2 linked regions of the Daphnia pulex genome follow. The main gene of each other region encodes a partner of the protein of the gene in region 2 in a complex. Links are inferred from orthologs where the notes say so. Each region holds a gene or a part of one and is shown on either strand. Other genes may lie near its edges.

Evidence for each region.
Region 1: the proteins of protein lin-9 homolog (region 2) and protein lin-37 homolog are in contact, whole or in part, in a crystal structure (PDB 7N40), measured with the Homo sapiens proteins. The link is inferred for Daphnia pulex from reciprocal best matches to the Homo sapiens genes LIN9 and LIN37. Residues at the interface, in NP_001353174.1 of Homo sapiens: Lys99, Ala101, Ser102, Gln103, Lys104, Ile105, Gly106, Arg108, Leu109, Arg110, Leu112, Leu113, Lys114, His119, Trp121, Cys122, Ile123, Glu125, Trp126, Phe127, Thr227, Leu237, Phe238, Leu272, Ser273, Asn274; in NP_061977.1 of Homo sapiens: Tyr95, Ile97, Leu99, Phe100, Asp101, Arg102, Val104, Leu106, Ala107, Phe109, Ser110, Glu111, Asn112, Thr113, Pro114, Leu115, Tyr116, Ile118, Cys119, Arg120, Trp122, Met123, Asn125.

Annotation. Positions count from the first base shown.
Region 1 is NC_060021.1:10,749,877-10,756,706, reverse strand, and holds protein lin-37 homolog, read right to left. Parts: upstream 4,148-6,830; 5' UTR 4,039-4,147; coding exon 4,014-4,038; intron 3,943-4,013; coding exon 3,810-3,942; intron 3,736-3,809; coding exon 3,511-3,735; intron 3,454-3,510; coding exon 3,243-3,453; intron 3,172-3,242; coding exon 3,130-3,171; intron 3,065-3,129; coding exon 2,951-3,064; 3' UTR 2,842-2,950; downstream 1-2,841. Other genes in the region: phosphatidylinositol 3,4,5-trisphosphate 3-phosphatase and dual-specificity protein phosphatase PTEN-like, read left to right, coding at 1-77, 233-668, 732-879, 956-1,237, 1,361-1,520, 1,695-1,837; sphingosine-1-phosphate lyase-like, read left to right, coding at 4,761-4,769, 4,863-5,010, 5,085-5,300, 5,370-5,578, 5,655-5,800, 5,856-5,946, 6,015-6,224, 6,291-6,426 and 2 more.
Region 2 is NC_060023.1:5,468,289-5,476,028, reverse strand, and holds protein lin-9 homolog, read right to left. Parts: upstream 4,001-7,740; 5' UTR 3,950-4,000; coding exon 3,931-3,949; intron 3,613-3,930; coding exon 3,395-3,612; intron 3,324-3,394; coding exon 3,152-3,323; intron 3,096-3,151; coding exon 2,959-3,095; intron 2,901-2,958; coding exon 2,689-2,900; intron 2,534-2,688; coding exon 2,398-2,533; intron 2,313-2,397; coding exon 2,142-2,312; intron 1,807-2,141; coding exon 1,693-1,806; intron 1,629-1,692; coding exon 1,281-1,628; intron 1,222-1,280; coding exon 1,015-1,221; intron 950-1,014; coding exon 758-949; intron 571-757; coding exon 316-570; 3' UTR 272-315; downstream 1-271. Other genes in the region: vacuolar protein sorting-associated protein 33A-like, read left to right, coding at 5,531-5,640, 5,702-5,789, 5,853-5,957, 6,025-6,319, 6,392-6,518, 6,580-6,646. UniProt on the Homo sapiens protein: Acts as a tumor suppressor. Inhibits DNA synthesis. Its ability to inhibit oncogenic transformation is mediated through its association with RB1. Plays a role in the expression of genes required for the G1/S transition.

The sequences.
Region 1 (6,830 bases), on a different chromosome or scaffold from region 2:
GTCGGGTTATTCACTGTGCCCTCTCGAGTTGCGTGAAATTCGCCTGCAGCCCATTCCCAATATGAGTGGTGGTTGTGGTAAGGGCTTATCTAACCTCTTAGCTTAGTACGGCTGATAAGTGTATGACGGAAGAGCGATTCGTGTGTTGCGTACTGTTTTGTAAAGCAGACGATAGAGTCAAACATGCACTTGTACCAACTAATTTCCTTTTCGCTTCTCTTTATTTCGATAGTTCCCGTTTTGACCATATTTGAAGCGGAAAGCCAACAAGAATTGAATCCACCAATTGAGCTGACCAAAGTCGGACGCGTGCTACGCATTACCTTGAAAACACCGCTGAGCCTCAAGGGCGACGTGCGGGTGATCCTCAAAAACAAACCCAACGTGATAATGCTGAAAGAGAAGATGTTTCATTTTTGGTTCAACACCTATTTCGTCAAAGACCAAACTCTCCCACCATCACCGTCCCCATCGTCTCGTCGAACTCTCAATGAGAAAAATGACCTTACATCCAACGGATTGGATAGTACCGCTTCTATGACTAAAGCTGAAGGATTAGCTTTGAAAAATCGATTTATAGGCTCATTAATTGAACGACCGGAACATTCTGGGAGTTATCCGACCAACCATCTCAGCCCGAACCTTGTCTTGTTGTCTAGTTCATCCAGGTGCGTCCTTTCTCGGCTGGTGGATGTAACAACTTGCGTTTTAATGCTTTTGTTCTATTTTAGGGCGTCATCTTTGAATTCAGTGTATTCGGAAAACTCCTCTGCGCCTACCTCGGAGCCTAACCAATGGCTCAGCGTAACGTTAATGAAACGTGAGCTCGATAAAGCTTGCAAAGATAGTAACCATAAAATTTTCCCTTCGGATTTTAAGGCAAGTCATTTGAGTAGTATTCAGTTAAGTTGCAAGAATTTGTTATTTATTTACCCTTTTTTTTAAAAAAAAATAGACGACATTGTACTTCACTCGTCCTGGACAGGTGCCTTTGAGCACCGTTGGAAGTTTACCGAATATGGATTCCGCTGCCCGGGCTAGCCGCAGTAGCATGGCTGTCATGAATTGCAGTCCTGCTATCACTCGTTTCCCCTCTGCCACTTCTAATGGTTCAAACCGACCCAAGACTATTGCAACAAGTGGAAATCCAGGGGTTAAATTGAGTCCTCCTCAGAATCTTGGCCTTCTTGGTCCGATTTGTTGGAGGGCTAATCCGACAACGAAGACTAACGTAGAGGTAACAATTTTACTTCTAATTTCAAATCCGATCTAAAAACAATATGTTAACTACCATTATTTATAATCACAGTATAATTTTATATCAAAACAAACTAAAATTGTGATGACCTTTTCATTTCAGATCAATAATACTGAAGGGGTTGGAGGACATGACCAATTACCTCGCCATTCGGACTCTAGCCAGACTTGGAGTTCCGAAAATGATAGTTCAGACGTAGAAGGGTCAGAGCGAAACCAATTCCAGAAGCCACCGAACCAGGAGCAAGAAGAAGGCGAGCAAGGTTCGTAATCTCTGGATTGATTGTTAGAATCCACGGTGATGAACAAGCAACTCTCGTACCTCTTTAAATTATTATCTTCTCTTTTCATCACTCGATTCTTTCCCCCCCAAATTGTCTACATCTTTTCCTCTTTTCTTCCTTATCTGAAGCGTTTCTATGTATGTTCTTGGGTAGATGATACTTGCACCTCTTCGGATCCTGTTGGTCGCTATCGGTTACTCTCCTTTTCGGCTTGCACCTCTGGGGGTACTCAAGAAATAGTTCGTCTGAGTCCATCGTCTGTTGACCTTACGCTGAAAGGTTGGCCTTCCACCTGAATAGCAGCATGCTGATTTGGTTCCCTTTTTTCTCCGTCTTCTATCTCTTTGTTGGCACACTTCTGTATTACTCTCCTGCCTTTTACGCCTTTTTTTTGTCCCCTTCTCCAGACAGAATCAATCAGTTACTGCTGACGTTTTGCGATTCTACCCGATGTCGGCTTCTTTAGAGAAAACAGCACTTCCGAAATATGCGTAAAAAAAAAACTAAATTTTGCATTTTAAAGTTTGTACTCGGTTCGTTGCAATTATGCAGTTGGACGTGAGCGATGGCTGTTGCGGGTTATAGGTCACGTTTATTGTTCCCTTGCGTATCATCTTTGTTTCTATGGTTCTAGTTATTTTAATAGTTTCTTTTTCCTTTACAAAATCGGATCGGCTAAGGGTATAGAGCAATATCATCATGCTCCTCTTCACATTATCTCTGATCCCTCATTAATTTTCTCGTGTTACGCAACAAATCCTCCCAGTTCTTGTTTAATCTTTTTTCATTGTTGAAATAAACATGTGACCTGGATCTCCCTTTATATAAGAGACACCATGCAAAAATTGGCGTCCGAAGTTCGACATTTTCCCCACACTTCGTTATTGATTAGTTCCATTGGTACTCTGTCGTCACTGCATTTTCTTGTTAGATTCGCACCCTTTTCCATTCAATTACAGTTTCTTATACATGAAATCTCTTTGAACTCCAATCTTTAAACTTACCTACCTTTTTTTATTTTTTGGCCAAGAAATGAAAGATCAATTGAGCACTTATTTATCTTACAGGGGAATCGACCTATTTGTGACCTGGCGTGTGACAAACTGTTAAGAGATTTCTCTTGATTACATTTAACTGACGAGAACCATGTGCGTGTTTGTCTCAAATATCTCATTTGTTTCTTTTTTGTTTGTTCGATTGTTAGGTTGTTTGATTGTTTCTTTTTTTTTTTGTTTTGTATCGGATTGGAAACGGTATGACTGGACAATAATATACTATAACTGAATAGTTAAAAAGCAAGTTAATGTTTTTGTTTTAAGATAATATTGAAGCACACGTCCCACAAAACAAACGCTGATGGTTGTTGAATTTTTGTCAAGTAGTACAAAAATATGATGATCACATCAAATTTAAGGGCGAACTAAAATATTCTTAAGAATCTTGGTACTTTCAACATAACGGACTTCATTGACATTAGCCGCCCGTCTCCATTGCTCTCGTACTCGACCCCAATGAGAACAATGCTGTTAAATGAAAAAGAGAAAAAATTAGTTAAACTGCATTCATTTGACCAAATGTTTCTACCCACCTCCTGCAATAGCGATGATACTGATGGAGCCGCCTCATCTTCCTGTTTTACATGAGTTTTTCCGAAGTCAACAGTTAGTAAAAATTCTACACTGAAGTTCCAAATTCACTTACACACACATTTAGCAGCAAATCTAGTGATTTAGATTTTCCACTGGGCTTCAGATCAAAGGGAATCCTAGTATCTACAATGTTTCCTTCTTCATCCAGAGGCATCGCTTCAGGTAATGGCAAGCTATTTACAAAAGCTTCACCATTTTCTTCAAGTTTTAAATCCTCTTTAACCTCAGCTCCTTTATCCTCCAGTTTCTTAGGGGAATTTGCACTGAAATCAAACACTATATAATATTTCTTTAAGGCTGGAAATTAAATGTCAAATTACTTTGCAGCTCCAAATTGTTGGTTGTTTGGTTGATTTTTTATCCAAGCACGGCAAACAGGATATAGGGGAGTTTGAGGAGAAAATTTTGCAAGATCAACACTACGATCATAAAGCTTAAGCACATAGGAATTTTGGTCATTTTTGTAATGTTTATCCACATTTAAGCGTCTTCTCTTTCTCAATGGAGTTTTAATTGTTCCTGATTTCCTAGGAGATGCTGATTGACTATACAATCATAGCCAAATTGATAAATAAAAACATAATTTTTTAAATTCTTAATGTAACTATTCAGTAAATACCTTCTGCCTTCATGGATTAAATCAGTTACATCTACGTCAGATTCATCGCTATCTTCAGATTCAGTTTTTTCGATCAAAATTTGCAGAGCTCCTTCCAATCGTCCACGGGCAGTGCTAACTTCATGCCCATGATCTATAAAATAAACAATTCGTGTGATGTACAAATGCCATTCAGCAAAACATGTAAACATTAAAGTTGCATACCATATTTCTCTTTATCCTTTCTCATTTCTAGATTTGAAAATAAAGAATTTCACAAAAGAAATTAAAAATTCGACCGAGTTCCAAACAAACACAGCATTGCCACTTTCTCTTCTTTAATGGTTGTCAGATTTTACAAAATAAAACAAGGATATCGGAAGAAGCAGACGAATTGCGGACTTCATAAAGCGGATTTCGATCGGCCGTGAGGAACTGTAAATTTGAGCTGATCCGCTATTCAAATATGAAATATGCCCGAGTGATGATGACTCAAACCGCAAAATAAAATGATTATGCAGAAAACCAAATTTGAGACGTATCTTTCTGAATTTACGAAGTATAAACAAATTATCTAAGTTAATTAGTTAAATGTCACATTTGTATTTGTAAACACCTAAAATTCAATTTTATTTATTTAGTTATATACAGTGTACATTTCTAAACATTCATTAATCTTAATATTTTATTATTAATTTTTACTTTCTTATGCAACAATCCTATGTGTCTGCTGTCTGGATGTTTGTTTGCAGTCCAAGGGTGTAGAAGAGGTATCAATCTTGACATGTTGTGATATTGCTGGTGTTTTTTTGTTTTTTTATCTTGTTTACTTTATCTAAACTCTACCTGACTGATAGGGTAAATGTGGTATATGCACTGAGCTGCTGATCCAAGGTTGAAATATTCCTCATTTGGAAATCAGTCAGCTCCTCATTTGAAGCCACAAAGGAAACTTGGTTATTTTTCATAACCATGTCTATGGTAAGATACATACATTGTGTCAATTTATTGAAACTAAATTTACCCATGAAGAAATTCAAGATAAAGTATTCTAATTATTTTTCTTAATTACAGCCGAGCATATTAGAAGTTGCTAGATTTATAAAAATATATATAGACTACCGTTTAAATGAGAAGTTTTCTTTTAAAATAATTTTGATATCGGCTGGAGCAGCATATTCCATTGCTCGACTACAGAACTTTCTGACAGATCCAGAATTGTGTAAATATTTCACAAGTCTATGTAAGAATTAAGAGCCTCATGCAATAATAATTTATTTTTTTCTTTTATTGAAGCTGTGGCTGAAAGAACAAAGAGATATATTTTCTCATGGATTCGTATGATTCCTTTTGTGAAAAAAAAGGTAGCAGAGGAAAGACTTAAGGCTAAACATATGATGGAAGAAGACATGAATAAATGCACAAAATCCCTTAGTGTCTATTATCAATTGCCTAGTAATGGAAAATCAGTTGAAGAGATTACTAAAGAAGCTAGTGAATATCTAGACCTAGGTAAATAATTTTATCTTAATGCATGAAAATAGATTGGATTAAGCTGTTTGTTTGTTTTTTTAACCATAGGGGACTGTGACTGGAAAGCTGGAGGACTTTCAGGATGTGTTTACAATGTTGATCCAGAAGTTACTACTCTTGTTACGCAAGTTTATGGAATGTCTGCCTGGACTAACCCGCTTCATCCAGAAGTATTCCCTGGAATTCGAAAAATGGAAGCTGAAATCGTCCAAATGGCTATCCATATGTTTAACGGGGGGAAAGATGCTTGCGGCACTGTGAGATAAAAAATGTCGATATTCAACTATTATGTAACTGTCTAACCTTTCGCTATCCAATGCGTTTATAATATAGATGACTTCTGGAGGTTCCGAATCGCTCTTACTGGCCGTAAAAGCATACCGAGACTATGCGCGAAACGTAAAAGGCATAAGAAATCCTGAAATCCTAATTCCTGCAACTGGCCACGCGGCTTTTGATAAAGCTTCCCAACTTTACAGGTTTTATTTATTTTAAAGTGTTTTAACATATTGATACCAATCTTGCTACGACCAGGATGCGCCTTGTTCGAATACCAATAGATCCAAAAACCCAGAAGGCAGACATTAAAGCGATGGAAAAAGCCATCAATAAAAATACTTGCTTGGTATATTTTGGAATATTATTGGGATTTGTCAGGTCACCACTTTGATGTTTTACATGTTTCGTTTTCAGCTTTTGGCATCAGCACCTGGTTTTCCTCATGGAGTGATTGACCCAGTCGAAAAGATTGCCCAACTCGGTCTTAAATATGACATCCCTGTGCACGTTGATGCCTGTTTGGGAGGGTTCGTAATCGCGTTTATGGAAGAAGCTGGCTACAGCTTGCCGCCGTTTGACTTCAGAGTAAAAGGAGTCACCAGTATTTCGGCCGATACGCACAAGGTAATATACAGTGCTTGCTTTCAATTTGATTTTCCACTATAATTTTTGTATGCGATACACTTACAGTATGGCTATGCGCCCAAGGGAACTTCCGTTATTTTGTACTCCCATCCGAAATATCGCCAGCAACAATTCTTTGTTGCTACTGAATGGCCTGGTGGTATTTACGCATCACCAACTTTAGCCGGTTCTCGACCAGGAGGTAAATTTACACTTGTGGACTTATCTTATTTAAATTTATATTAATTGCCCATTTGATTTTGTTAAGGCTTAATTGCTGCCTGCTGGGCGTCTATGATGTACTATGGTCGAAGCGGTTATGTAGAAGCTACTAAAAAGATTGTGGAAACTCATCGCTTTATTGAAAGAGGGCAAGCAATATTTGATAACCTGTATATTCTTCTTCTTCAACATTTTTTATGTTTTTCTTTATTTAGTTTGCGCCAGATTAAAGGCATCCGCGTCATGGGACATCCCGAAGCATGCTGTGTTGCCGTGGACTCAATCGACTTCAACATTTACCGTGTATCAGATGCCATGACCAAAAAAGGCTGGAGTCTTTCTCCTCTCCAATTTCCTTCTAGGTAATGTTTCAATCATTGAGCA
Region 2 (7,740 bases):
TATTTGCTATATTTATATTTGTGTTTTAACCCAATGCGTTTTTCTGTATTATATTCATTAAAGAGTTTAATGATAAAGGGAATCAAAAATTTTGTTAAATGAATATTTTTATTATGTGTGTATCTTTTGTAATTTAAAAATGTCTTTCACTGAACATTTGAAAATCATTCGGTATTTTACTAGACAATCTGATTCGCATTATTTACATTTGAATTGATTGAAGATTTTTTTTACTGTTAAACGAGAGGTTTCAGAGACATGTCTAACAAAATTTTTTCTACGCCATGAGTTAATTTATTTCTGTTTCAACAATAGTTAATGGTTATCGTTATCATTGGGTAACGGTAGGTTCCTAGTGGTGGAGGTGACCGCAGGTGCATTAGTTTCGGTACCGTTGAACGGCGTCATGTGGTCAAAGTTACACAATCCAGATTGGATATGCTGCACGTGAACTAAAACATGGTTCCTAAGAGAAGTTAGATTCGATTTGTCTAAGGACTTCCGCAGTTCATCTAAGGAGTCGTGTAAAGCTTGAAGCTCGTAAGCGTTGCGTTCACTTTCCGCAAGGCACTGAAAAAAAAAAAGTATTGAAATAAGTAAAGAGTTGCAGTTTACATAAACGACAATCTGATTATCGATTTTAATTTACTACAATATAGTTAACTATAAATCATCAACTAAAAATATCGGTAAAAAATCTAGCAAATAAAAACTCGCAGTAACAATAACCACGAGCGAATAAATACATTACAAATACCTTGATTTGGAGCATTAAAGATGTGAGACCAGTGACAAGTGCAATAATCGGGGCAGAGGTAACATTTGGATGTGAACCACTTCGAGTATCCAACTGAGTTTCAACCAAATCTCTAGCTTCTTGATAACACAGTTGGCGAATACTATCTGGCCCAGCTAATGGGGATAGACCATGCTCTGAATCCGGAGCAATCTAAACGATAAAAATTCCAAAGAGTTATTAATGTGACTATTTCAGATCGAAAAGTAACAAAATACCTCATGGCATTGTTGTCTGACCTTAACTAGGAGGCTGTTGAGTTCCGTATTCAATTCTTCCAAATCAAGGATGGTACGAGCATAGCGTCGTTGAAAATCGGGTGCAACAGTTTCGCCGACTGACTCTCGGCGTTCAACTTCTGTATTCATATCTCTCAGTCTTCTAACCTTATCTTTTTTCATATTTAAAATCTTCGAGAGTCGTACCTATAGAACAAATATATGTTACAAATTTCCAATAATACGCAGATTTTCAAAGGACTTACGATTGGTGTCAGAACGTGGATGGGCAAGGAGCCAAACGTCGTTTCTTGTGGTGTCAATCTTGAATTAGACGATCCCAAGACAGGATCGCTGACTAAACTTGAAGAATCAGAATGAGAAGTGTGTCCAATTCGTGTGCCACTGACATGTGAAGTTAAAGATAAAGTAGGCATTGCAACTTCAAGGGAAGACTGTTTAATGGGCTGTTGATGTTGACTCGAGATTGTTAGTGTTTGCTGCTGTGAAGCCATCAGTGGTATTATTGCGGGGGTCGGTGGTAAAACAGCTGGGCGAGGGCGAAACCGTTGAGCCAAACTCGATATCGAAATCATGTCTACTGTTTCATTCGACTAACAAGGAAATTTGTTTTTAGTTGAAGATGTCTTTCGTTGTCAAGACGAACATTACACGTACCAAAACTTCGTAATCCGGAACAGAGTGTGTTCCCAATCCTTGTCTATCAAATGTGATGCGGTATGTATTATTGGACGTATCTACGGCATCGATTTGGCCAACGAACAATCCATCCTTTAATGGGAAGAAAAAAATAAATAATTACTACGTATTTATTTTTCCTTCTTTTTAAATCATAAATAATTATAGTCACTAGGTCATAGTTTTAACGTCACACTCCACATATTCTTTTATTGAGCTATGTATACCCACTTCAAACTCTTGCGCTGTTATCTTAAAACACTTAGAATAACTACGGCAATCATCTCATATATACTAAGGGAATCGAAAATACTTCGGCATTTCATTAGACCAACGGCATCTTGGTATGATCACACAAGATTGCCGTCGACTGACGAAAAATCGATAACAATTTAAGTAAATAGCTGAAGTATTGTGCTTAAGTGTACCTGTGGTTGCCGAAGTCTGGCCGTCACTTTGGTGCCGATAACCAAAGGCATAGGGATAAGATCCGGCAAATCCCTACAAAGAGATGCCATATCGCTTACTTTGCGCTGTTGAACTAAACGAATCTTCTGTCTTTTTTTGGCCAATTCTCCTCTTTCTTCATTAAAAAATGCCTAAAATGAATCAAGAGGGGGAAAAATTGGATAAGAAAATGTTAGAAACTGGACAAGCCATTTGCATGAATAAAAATTTAGGCACCTGAGAACAACGTCTTGGTCTTCCCATAAGACGACGGATGGTACACCACTGGGATCTAGTAAGCTGTCGCAATTTCAAGCTGGGGAATGACTCTCGTAAACATAGCATAAAGTCATTGTCGCCTTCAAACAATGCTCTAAAATAAATAAATAAATAATAATAATTAAAAAAAAAAAACGGTTACAGCAAAATGGAGTGCTTCACAAATTATAAGGAAATCGACGAAACACACAACTACAACCATTTCTTTTTCCCCATGCAAGGTATAAAATAAATGGCACAAAAACGTACTGGTCTAGATTACTGTAGAACCATTCATAGCAGACCCATTTGTGCGCTTTGGGTAACTTAAGTAAATTGCGTAAGCGGACACCAAGTTTTTTCAAGTCTTCGGCTTCTTGCTCAGCCGTTGTTGCTGCAACCGAAGGTAAAGCGGCCGCGGCCACAATACTCCGAGCACGACGTCCAACAACTAAAGGTTCACTCTTCTGCTTTTCCGGCAACTAATACAAATGATATAGTATACAATTATTGGCAATATTTAATATATAAAAATTTTACCTTAAAAGCTGGCTTAACCTTCATTTTCTTTAGCTTTGCCTTAACTCGATTAGTAGTTTTGAGCGGCGTCGAAGCATTTGATCCACTGCGACGTTCCGGAGTACCAGTTGCACTGCCAGGTGCAGATCTTGTGTGGCCTGTAACACAATTTACTGTTAATCATGATTACATTTTTTAAAATAATTTATTTAACCTCTCTTTATTATTTTTGAAGTGGTAACTTGAGGTGCTAACTGGTTTGAATGAGATGATCCACTAACACCACTGTTGGATTTTGTGGATTTCCTTGGAGATTTATTAGTAGATTGGTTGACAATAGTATCATCATCAAAGAACAATGGATTCTTTTTTCGAATTCTTGCTGGCTAAAATAAAAATTAGTTTCCACAATTTATTACATCATATAATCAAATAAAGTCCAAATAGTCTCACTTACAATGCCTCTTCTGTTCAATGTGATTGGATTTGAAGTGGTACTCCCAGTTATTTTTGAACTAGAGGATGAATTTACATCACTGATCCGTTTTAATCCAAACATTTCTGGGCCTAAAGTCATTGCTTGATTCGCCTGTTCTGAGTCATCTCCAAAATCAAGCTCTCTTTTCACTTTGAATCCTCCATTTTTGAATGAAAGTAAAGCTTCTGCAGATTCAGCTATACAGAATTTCAAATATAAATATTAAAGTTAAGTAAAACTCTTAACACAATGTACTTCAATTGATTTGGAAAATCTATTAATGCTCAATTTTCATAACAATTGGTTGAATGAGAAATTACAAACTTAAGCAAATATGAGGTAACAATATAAACAAGTAAGGAGCCGTTCTAGAGCTTAACCCAAATCGTATCAGACAGAAATTTATAATAAATTATTAAAACTACAAAAGATTTTCAAACTGAGTTTAAAGAAAAAACATAATTAACCGTCAAAGCTTAATTGTTTGTTTACGTTTTGCAGTTAAGATAACTTACTTTCAAGTAAATCCGCCATTTTCAAGCAGTTTTTTCAACTTTCAGAATCGCTCGAATCGTCAAGCTTGGGACGTTGCCGCATTGACGAATTGTAAACCAAAAAAAAAAATTAATAAAATATTACATTTTTCTTGCTGATTTAGTGATTTTTTTACTTCTAAATTATAATAATCTAAATCCTTTTTCTAATATTTTATTACTATTTTAAATTGTAGCTTGCATTTGTTATTGGATACCTCATAGCTATTAACACTCTCGAATCACAGCAAATTTTTATCCCTGAGGGTAGTACTTGTACTACCAGAAGGCATTAAAGTAAATGCGGGTGTCTGGGTGTGTAGGAGGGGGAGGGATGTGGGGGGAGTGTACGCTGTTCTGGGCCAGGCTTCCAGAACCTTTAATTCAGAATCAGAATAAATTTATAGAAATCTAAACTACTGCATCGATTTTCTTCAAACTGTTTGTGTAAACTTACAGTAATTTATCTCAGCGGATAGGTAAGTTTCGATTCATTTGGTAATACTAAATTTAATTTAATTTTATGCGGATTTAGTCATTAGCTTTTTGTGACTTAGGACAACCACAACATCAATTCGATTGTCTGTTTGTTTTGTTTTTGTTGTCTGATTTATCAGTTAGTCAGTTACCGAACGTCGTCATCATGTTGACATGGTTAGCTTGCAATTTGTAATTATTAAAGTAACGCATAATTTCAACATTCCTGTTTCAATTCTTAGGCAAAAGACTATACTATGGATTACCTTATTCATCATTGTCATTGTAATTGTTTCGCATAGCTAAATGCTTCATGAAGGGTAAATCAACGCAATATCATTTATTATTTTGAGTTTTCTTACGTATTTTGTTTGCCTAACTAATTTTGTTGTGACGCCCAGGAAAATGACCATAAAATGGGTTTGCTTGATTTTCATGGTAGTGTATTAAACCATTTCTGTGAGTCACTCATTGATTTTGTTGTGACGCCCAGGAAAATGACCATAAAATGGGTTTCTTGATTTTCATAGTGCACTAAACCATTTCTGTGAGTCACTCACTGATATAAATACCATATGATGAGTAGTCATCATGTATGGTAAGCACTGAAATAATTTACCATAATTGTAATGCCTCACGATAAATTTTATTTTGACTGTTAGGCTAATGATTAGAAGTTAGACATGAATATGTATCGTCCTCACCTAAATTTGGATGTGCACGTGTCTGTTTCAGAAAGAAAGTTAAGGACAGGAGAAGATGAGCATTGGTAATACTAAATTTTATTTTATTTTATGCGGATTTAGTCATTAGCTTTTTGTGACTTAGGACAACCACAAAATCCATTAGGTTGTCTGTTGACAGTCTGTTGATGTCTTGTTCAGTAAAAATAAATTTCGTCAACAGTTTTGTTATTGTTACAGGATATTGTTTCTCTTTTAGAGAAGTTCAGTGGAACAAAGGTATTTTGGTGTGTGCTATTCCATTTAAGAAATGTACGTAAATTCATCAATTATGCTAGGCAATATTTTGGGATGAACAACTCACTGGCCCCATTGGTTTGGTGGCAGAATACAGTTTTCTTAAGGAACTAGATGTTGTAAAAATGTTTCAGTTAAAACCTGGGCGCTTGCCTTCCATATCTGTTAAAAATATGCTGTTCATCACAAGACCTGAAGTTGAGCTGATGGATTGTATTGCCGATAACTTGCACAGGTATGAATAATCTACATGTTTTAACTTTAAATAGTCAACAATAAGTTAATTTACATTTCAGCGAAGAAAGCCAAGGACATTCTGCTAGTAAGGAATATCAGTTAATTTTTGTCTCCCGACGAAGTGCAGTATGTGAACAGCGGCTCAAGGTTGGTTAAAGTTACTTAAATCAGCGAAGAAGAAATTGTTGACAAAATTATTACTTCATTTAGGACAAAGGAGTGTATGGAACTCTTACTTCTATTGATGAACTGCCTGCTGATTTTTTCCCACTAGATAGTGATGTCATTTCAATGGAACTCGATAATGTTTTCAAGGTATTTATTTATGAGCCAAACTTTGAAAGGGATTGCTTGTCATCAATTTCTTCAAATTTATTCTCAGGATTTATATGTTGACAATGAAATCATCTCCTTACACCAAATTGCTCATGGGTTAATGTCCCTCCAAAGTTTATATGGCATTTTCCCCAACGTTGTGGGTAAGGGGCGCCATGCCCGTAACGTATTCGAATTGATGACTCGAATGCGACGTGATATTGGGGTAGACTGTGATCCCCCCATGTCTCCGTTGTTCGACACTCTCATGATCATTGATAGGACTGTAGATTTGATAACTCCTGTTGTCACTCAGTTGACCTATGAGGGTCTTATCGACGAATTCCATGGAATAAAACATAGTAAGAAAGTATTGTTAGCTTCTGAGTAAAACAATTATTTTACTTGCATTTTGTGGTTTCATTGTTATTTAGATACAGTCAAGCTTCCAGGAGAAAATTTTCAAGCCTCATCAAATGCGGGCCAGTCACCTCGCTCTGATGGTAGCTCTGTTAAATCTGTTGTTCTAAACTCGGCCGAAGAGCTTTACGCTGATTTGAGGTGAAATTTTTAATCAGACAAATTTTGCTTCCGACAGTTTTAAAGTTATTTATTTTCGCAGGGACAAGAACTTTTCAGCCGTGGGTACTGCACTCAGTCGCAAAGCTAAAGCTATTTCAGCTCAGTAGCCTGGATAACGCCATTGTTGCATTTGGAGGTGTTAAGGTTTCTGCATTCGCACGCGATAGTGGAGAAATATTCCTAGACTCCTTCGATGATTCGGTAATCATGGTTAGTTTAAACTCAATAATATTTCTCCAGCAGTTTTTTTCATCGGGATTTTTTTTTCTTGTGTATTCTCTTTAGATCAACCCGGATATACCTGATGAAAGGGAGCTGAGGGAGTGGCTTAAAGACAATCAGTAAACAAATCCTTTTTTACTGATTGTCTGAAGATCTTAATTACTTGACGTCCTTAAACATCGACTGCAGCTAATTGCCTCCATCTTTTTTCTCGAATTGTTGCCTCCATCTGTTTCCCTGAATTGTTGCCTTGCCTCAAACTTTTTTCCTAAAATATGGCTTCGATCTTGTAACCTGAACTGTTGCCTTTTTACCTCAGCCCTTGTGATGGAGAAATTGGGCCACTGTCTGAGTTTAACTCAAGAATTTCGTAAAATGATAAATGATAAAATAATAATAAATTTATTTCGTAAATGATAAAGAAAAAAAATCCAGGAAATTACAATAAACAAAATCTTACGAAATTCCTACATTTTAATTGTTTTGAAAATATAAGCAAAAGCTTTTAACTGATATCTTGCACGTTAATACCCGAGGGCGAACCTGGAAGGGTCTTGTTTCCGCATTAAGCACTGCAAATGAAGTATGTCCAGAGCTGTGGACATAAAAAGAGAACTTTCTTTAGATTATCTGGTATTTGAATTATTGTGGCTATTTTATACCCCCGTCACATCTAATAAATGAAATTAAATAAATACTTCCTTTAAAAGTACACTTGAAGGTCCTAGCTAGAATTTTGTTTAGGATGTTTAAGTCTATCAACTTAAAAATTAAAATGTGCCTTTCAAACGATAAATTAGACGTAGTTTGCATATTTCCTCCCCTTCTTGTTATGCAATAGTGTATTAGAAGGTAACCCACGGTGTGTTAAAGCCTCGTTCCGCCCACAGCCTTTTGGGAGCGTTTTACTTATCGTAGAGGGTTTAAGCAACCGGTTCTTCCCAACGGAAAGCCAGTTGTCTTCTATATTACGGTTGCT